2 linked regions of the Nothobranchius furzeri genome follow. The protein of the gene in region 1 interacts with the protein of each later gene in a biochemical or structural test. Links are inferred from orthologs where the notes say so. Each region holds a gene or a part of one and is shown in the gene's direction. Other genes may lie near its edges.

Region 1 (3,926 bases):
TAAAAATATCACAGCAGAAAATGCATCTTAAACCCCTCGATATCTGCCAGAACACCGTTTTTATTTTAAAGATACTGCATGTCTGTGCCCTGGAGAGAACCCTTTCACTAAAACCTGTCGTTTAAAAAATAAAACCTGCCTTTAAATGAAGCAGTCATATGAATATTTTATGTCAAAGTAGCAGTCACGTGCACATTTTAAAGGTGAAGTAGGGCTGCACATATCAGCAAAAAGTGTCAGGCTAAAACAGGCGTGGTCTATTTTACTATAGATACTTAACTTTCACAGTTTTCAGACATCAGTTGAGACATGTTGAAAAAAGAAAGAAATGGTAGAGCTAAATTATATACGTGTGGGTTTTATTCTGAGTCCAGAGACAATGGTGAAGTTAGGTGATTCATTTGTCCTTGTGTTTCCTTTCCTGCTCTAAAGCGAGATTAGAAAATTATATGTTTAGCCGCTAGAGGGAGTCACTGGCGCGACTATTTAATTATTACAACTACCACAAGACAACAAAAATATAATAATAATAATAATAATAATAATAATAATAATAATTATTATTATTATTATTATTATTTCATAATTACCGTTGAATAAATCAAAGCAATACATAAATAATATTGATATGCTGTCTATCAAATAATCAGTGTTTTTATTCCTTAAATGTGGCTCTGTGTGATTCCAGCCAGGTAAAGCATGTAAAAATAAAAATGTGCATGATTTTACAAACACGTCAATTTTTCTTATAATAAGCTGATCATATATGCATTAGGCAGCAGCAAGAAAATTTTGTATAACGCAAATAAATTAACTGCTTTTCCATTTTTGGAGGGGGCTGGTCTCTTGTGACCCTAATGTGTCAACTAGCTGGAGACGTGGCAGCGCCTCGGGTCATATGATTTAGGCTCTTCCACGAACCCCACCCCGTTATTTCACACTCCATATATATATATATATATATATATATATATATATATATATATATATATATATATATATATATATATATATATAATTTGAAATCACTCCCGTGTTATCCTAAACTTCTACGTGTGCGCACATTTTAAAGTCTTATGAAATACTCTTTAAGCACCTAGGAGTTGATTCTAAAGGTGGGTTTCAGAGGAGTGACCACCCAAAACAGGGCCATTTTTAGACATTTTACTGCTGACGTTTACAGAGGCTTCAAATAGCTTCCGTTTGACTCTGGTAGTGATTGGACTGAGAGCTAATAACACACAGGCGGAACGCGTCCGACATTCTTCACTTCAATGGAGGAACAGCCCAAAGATCGGGCACAAGACAGGCACTACCACCACCACGGGGAGGACAGGAACTCTACTCAACGCACAGCTTGTCTGAAAAATGATCAGAGCCACTTCCAGTGCCAGCATCAGGAAACGCAGACGAAGAAAACAGGTCGGGCCGCCCTGAAAAGTCGGCTAATGTCAATGAGCCGACTAGCATTCGCTAGCTAACGTAACTGGGAGCCAGCTAGCTCCTAGCTGCTGCCCCGAATAGTTTTGAGGACGGGCGGAGCAGCTGGTTAATCAGACAGATAGTCAGCCAGTGTCACACGAGAAACCACACATTATACTCGCTATCTGCTGACGTTGCGTGAGCGTTGTCGCTGCTGGTGGTTTGACAGATCGCAGATTGACCTTGTGCGCCGGTGCCGTGCCGAAAAAAAGAACCCTTTATTAATTTTTCTAATATAAATGTAGATACTTGTGTCCTCAGCGGTCCAGAAAAACACGAGGAGGTATGTCATTTGTAACTTTTACTCGGTGTATTGGTAAAAGAACATACCTTGGGATTAGCTTTCTGCGCTAAGAGTGCTAGTGATGGCAGGGGCGCTTTTTTTCGGCACAACACCGGTTTCACCGCCTAATTTTAAATGGCTTATGTAGCTGAATATGTTCTAAAACACCGCTTATGTCCCTCTGTATTCTAAACAAAACAACTCTTCTGTAACAGTGGCCTAAATTGTACTGATGTTATTCCAGTTAGCTCTGTGCAGTGTAGGAAACCGAGCCGGCTCCGCTGGAATGTTCTGTGCAGCCATTTCCGGTCGGCCATGTCAGAATATCACAGTTAGCTAACGCAACACTAACCGGCTAGTTAGGAAAATATGGACAACAACGACACGGTGGACGTTTTTTTACGCGTCATTGTCGACCGGTACTGTGGTGTTATCGTTGTCCGCTACTAGCTAGGCGATATTAGCAGACATTAGCCATTTGACAGGCCCTTTTGAATGTTGTCTGGAGAAGCCACGCAGCTGATCAGGCTCTGTCAGCATTAAGCGAACGTAAGCTGACAGTCGCTGTAAAATGTACATTTGCTAAATGAAACTAATTGTTTTGGCTGTGACAGGAATGTGAGGTGTGTTGTGCCAATAAATGTTACTGGGGTGGAGAAGCACTGTGGAGTAGGAAGTCCCACGTTGACACAGCACTTCCCACGAATCTGAGCCTTCAGAGGCCTAGTCATGATGCTTCACTGTAAATCTGTGCTTCCTGTATCCATCCACCTTTCCTATGCGGTGTGCCATTAATACATTGTGATAATTGTAGCATAATAAGTGTTTGGCTAATCTTAAAACATCACTTTCCAAGAAACTGCAAACCATAAACGTATAGTTGTTAGATTTTGTGGTGTCTGTAGAGTCCTATCATTTCCACATCGTCTTATTTTCTTTCCTTTTTTTTTTAGGCAATAAAAAATTAAACGTTGGCGACGAGGAAGGAGAGAGGAATCTACGTCTGTCTGATCCTGTTGGTATGTCGCTTCCTTCCCACGGCAATGGTAACAAACATGCGCACAACGCCAGTCTAAAGCAAAAAGGGGCGCAGAAGCTCTACACGCCTGCTCCAAAAGCGAGCAGCAAATTTCTGGACCGTAAGAAGAATATGGACTTTAAAAATGACAAGGAAAAGACTCTGGATTTGACTCACGATGACCTCCAGAGCTTGGATAAGAAAGACTCTGTTTTGCTTCACAACGGTGTCGTAAATTGTGGCTTCATTACAAATGGCTATTCTAGCAGGGACAATGATGGCAGCGGATCCGAAGGCGGGTACACCACTCCGAAGAAACGCAAGACCAGGTGTAACAATGCCAAGAACACTGATAATGTGACAAAAGAAAAAGAGAGAGACATGCAGCCCCGCAACACTACACAGGAGCTGGGGGCTTTGAATCCTGAGGCGACTGAGAAAGGCAGATCTACCCAGTCTGCTGCCAAACGAGCTGTCGTTCCCGAGACTACAGTGGGGGAATCTCAAAGGAAAAACTCCGATGGCAAAACAGCTGGCACCTTTGGTAAGAAAACAGAGGAACGGCACAAAGGCAAACTCTCCTCTCCTTCAAAGGAGGACCCGTGGACTTTGTTCAAGCCCCCTCCCGTATTTCCTGTGGACAATAGCAGTGCTAAAATCGTTCCTAAGATCAGTTATGCAAGTAAAGTAAAAGAGAACCTCAATAAAGTAGCTCAAAGTGGAGAAGTGGTTCCTCCTCCCATGAGACTGTCTCAAGTCCCGATGTCTGCTATGAAAACTATCACCTCAGCTAGCTTTACTAATGGTCCTGTTTCTGGAAATGGAAACGGCTGCCCGTCTGCTGGCACCTTCTTCGTTCCTGCTGCTAGTTGTATTCAATCAGCCCTGTCTGTCCCAAGTGGCGAGAATGTAGCATCTTCTCTGGAAAGTAACTGTAGCTCAACAAGTCCTGTAGATGGAGACGCTAACGAGCTTAAAAAGTGTACTCTGTTAATCTACCCTTTAAATATGCAACCTGTGCTCCCTAGTGCTCGTCACCTCGACCCACCGGCTGCTAAGACAAATCAGAAAGCCCTGGGAGACATCTTCCAGAATCAGTGGGGGCTCTCTTTCATCAACGAGCCCAACCTGGGGCTGGAGGGA
Region 2 (3,826 bases), on another chromosome or scaffold:
CACACTTCGTGTTACTTCAAGAAAGAGTCAGGTTTATAAAAGTAAGAATTTATTTAGCAAACAATTAAAACATGACTAATTAACTAAGCATTTACTGTGAGTGAATGTAACTAAACGTGATGAAAGAACCAATGTGTGAATGCGGTGTCAGTCAGAGCTTCCTTATCAAAGTAAGCTGAGTTCTGGTGAACAGAATTTGGTTTGCTCTAAGCTATAAAGTTGTTATCATCAGAAGAACATCAGACGCAATCTATCATGTCTACTTCACCCATTTTTGAGAGACCCTCTTGGTGGATCCGAAAGTCGCAGGGGTCGGCTGATCTTTGGCACCGGAGGGTTGTAGAATACCGTGGTACCGACTCTTCAGTCCAGAGATGTCTCGGGTCATAACAGCTGGATGGAACCGTGCGTCTGGCAGACTCTTAAGGAGTCTCACAGTATCAGCTTTGTTTCTGCAGGAGCTGTTTGCTCATCAGCTTCGCAGGTGCAAAAAGGTTTTGACGACGTGTCAAAATCTTTGATGGCTAAAGAGGTTTACTACAGGTGGCCGGTCTGAAGCGATTCTCCAGAACCCTCGAATCACTCAGGATGATCCAGTTTTAAGGTTTTGATGTTATGATTTGCACAGCCAATCAAAGGCTGACAGGTTTGAGAGATGTTACCAAGACAACTCAGAAACATGCCTTCTTGATACGGGACGTTCTGACTGGTTTAAAAGTCTCTGTGTGTTGGAGTTTAACTTAACCGTACTTGTTATTGTGAGTGCAGGCGTGAGGACCTCGTCGTCAAAACATGTTGAACACATGGCGGGTTCTAGTAGACATAAACATAACATAACATCCATTCAGTGAGCACAGATTAATGAAGCATTTCATTATACTATAATTATTGTAAGTAGTAATAAACAAATGTTTATTTAATGATTATCTAGATTATAAGTCATGGAAGAAGTTCATATTGATTTAGTAAATCATTCTTGAATTTAGCAACTCATTCGAGCTGGAGTTGTTCCTTCTGTGGAGGCAGCCAGATGGGACCTTGGGAAAGAAAGTTATTGTTTATCTTTCAGAGCTGCAGAGTCTGTGAGCCCCAGCTGGTATGAAGGCAGGCTCATTTAAAGGGAACACATGCAGTGTTGTGTCTCCTTTCTGACCAGGTGTTGAATAGATGTTGAAAGGTCAGACTGTACCTAAAACTGACCATCGCTGGACGCTACAGATTGCTGTAATCAAATTTGACCACAAGATGTCGTTTACTTCATTCTACAACTTGCAGCTTCACATTTTAATATGTGTTTCAGCTACATGCTGTTGTCAGTTTGGGAAGCATGTAGCTGAATCGTGATCATTTAGCACTTATTACATACTTGGATACCGTGTAGGGCTGGTTATCCATCTACCTCCTCGTTCGTCACTGTGGAGGTGTGGCCACTCACCCCCTTTGTTGAACATTTCTGTTCATTTCTGTGGTTTTTGTAGGCTTTTATCAAAGATGTCCACGAGGGATCTGTCACCGTGGCTTTTGAAAACAAGTGAGTAATATAATGTTTACACACACGACAGTAAAGCTTTATAGTAATACATCTGACGCAATAATAGTAGGATTAAATAATGTTTGTGTTTGTCCGATCCAGTTGGCAGCCGGAACGTCAGATCCCATTCCAGGATGTCCGCTTCCCTCCTCCAGCGGGCTTCAGCAAAGAGATCAACGAAAGCGACGAAGTGGAGGTGAGAAGGGTTCAAACCTCAGGGACAAGCAGGTTCAGGTATTCATCCAAAGGGCAGGAAATAGAAGGACAAGTATGTTTTAGGTGGCAAAAACACTAAAACTCTGGTTTAGAGTTTTCACCTCCAACCCACAGAACAAACTGTTCCAGCAGTTCAGCCTTTCCATTTTAATTGTAATCATAATAATTAATATAGCAGAGGGATGTCCCATTCCGATATCGATATCGGAAGTAATTCGATATCAGCCCAAAAACACTATCGGATTATATCAGACTGCATCAAAACTCTCTGATGTAAGCAGTCCGTTAAGGTTCACATTGTTGGCAACCAATGGTTAAAAAATGTTGTCATTTTTTTCATACTTACTATTGTTGGCTCTTCTTCTCTGATTAAGTAACATCTTTTGATCAAGCCTTTCATACATTCCACACTACAAAACCGGTATGTAGGATTTGTGCTGATATCGTATCGGATAGATATCGGTATCGGTCAATACTGAAAGGCTGCAATATTGGTATCGTATCAGAAGTGAAAAAGTTGTATCGGGACATGCCTAATATAGCATAAATGTGTCGGCACAAAAGCAGAGTATTCAGATTTGTCAACCCTGAACCGCACTAAAGCGTTAAAAAACAAGGACCTTGTCAATTATAGCTGAAATAATTCTTTTAAAGTGTGATTACAAATATTCCTCAAGGCCTAATGTATACGTCTGCGTTGGTATGGAGACACGCAACGCCGGTATCTGTCGTTGCCAGGGCTCTCCAACAAATGGCATCAGCTCACTTCCTGTTACTGCTTTGATCCTTTTTATGTAGTTACAGGGTTTCCCTTACATAGGCGTAGCCGTGGCGGCCCGCCACGGCTGAAATCTTGCCGCCACGCCTACAAGATCCCAAGTTTTATTTATTTATTTATTTATTTATTTATTTTTGCACTGTTTCCCGAAGAAGCAGCGGGAACTACTATGTTGTTGTCGCTTGTGATCACAGCCGGCGAGCAGCAAGAAGAAAGGAGCAGGCAGGGCAGGGTGCAGTTACAGCATAAGTTACTGAGTTTAAAATCAGAAAGGTAGCAGTGGATATAATGCTTTTACGTTTACATGTTTCAGCAGCATTAAGATAAACGAGTGCTGACCATCCTGACAGGGTTTCCTCCAGTGCTTATTAGGCCAGGTTCTCCTCCCCCACCAGGCTAATCATCACTTATTCATGTAAAATGTATTTATTACTTCATGTCTGACTTTAACCACATCTAATACTGTATTACGGCGTGAGCGCAACAGCGACAACTTAAGATCGATGTGTGAGCAGCGTGAGAGGTCGGGTGTTTCATCCGAACCCTTAAAACCTCCAGCAGGCTACGCTGCACTAAGTATTAGCGCGCAGCGCTACATGTCTACATTAGCGACGTGACATGTCTCGGAGAAAGCGTAAAAACACGTTGGACGCTTCTTCTGAAGCGGGAAAATAACGCTTCTTCTTAAGCAGAGCACGACGTCGCCTCGGCTCGTTCACGGCCGAGCCGGTACCGGACTGAGCTCGATAACATGACCCAGCACAGCCACTGGGTCGTTGGAGCTGCCCCGTGACTGCCTGATGGAAAACCAGCGGGTTTCATCAGACTCGTAAGGTTTCTTGTTTTTGCTGGGGACCCCCTGTATTTTACCGCTGCCTCCTGCAGTCTTCCCCTATTAACATTTAAAATGATTCTGTAAACTCGTGTATCGATAGAAACAATCTCTGTCTAAATGTAATTCTCAAATAATAAATAAGACGTGCATTCATCCGTGTATCTCCTTTGATCCGCATTAGTGATGTTTTCAGCACCAGAACAGTGAAGCAAAGAAACATTCCTGAGTTTGTTAGTAATTTCATTCATTAGGTACATCTGACCTGTTCTATTTTTCTCTGAAATGAGATCAAATCAGTGCTTCTATGGGTTGTCTCCAATCTGCACTGGAAAATTGTACTTTATTTAGAGACGTGGCATAATCCCCCCCCCCTGCCACAGCTGGAAAAATTCCTAGGGGAAACAGTGAGTTAATAAAACAGCTGACATGTCGGTGTGACGTAGCTTTGTTCCTGACTCATGTTTTT

Evidence for each region.
Region 2: the proteins of nufip2 (region 1) and fmr1 form a complex in vitro, tested with the Homo sapiens proteins (2 studies listed by BioGRID and IntAct, with this or other methods). The link is inferred for Nothobranchius furzeri from reciprocal best matches to the Homo sapiens genes NUFIP2 and FMR1.

What each region holds. Positions count from the first base shown.
Region 1 is NC_091750.1:49,402,529-49,406,454, forward strand, and holds the start of nufip2 (FMR1-interacting protein NUFIP2), read left to right. Parts: upstream 1-1,178; 5' UTR 1,179-1,274; coding exon 1,275-1,422; intron 1,423-1,629; exon of another isoform or gene 1,630-1,765; intron 1,766-2,178; exon of another isoform or gene 2,179-2,314; intron 2,315-2,718; coding exon 2,719-3,926. UniProt on the Homo sapiens protein: Binds RNA.
Region 2 is NC_091741.1:30,646,226-30,650,051, reverse strand, and holds part of fmr1 (fragile X messenger ribonucleoprotein 1), read left to right. Parts: intron 1-1,478; coding exon 1,479-1,531; intron 1,532-1,633; coding exon 1,634-1,727; intron 1,728-3,826.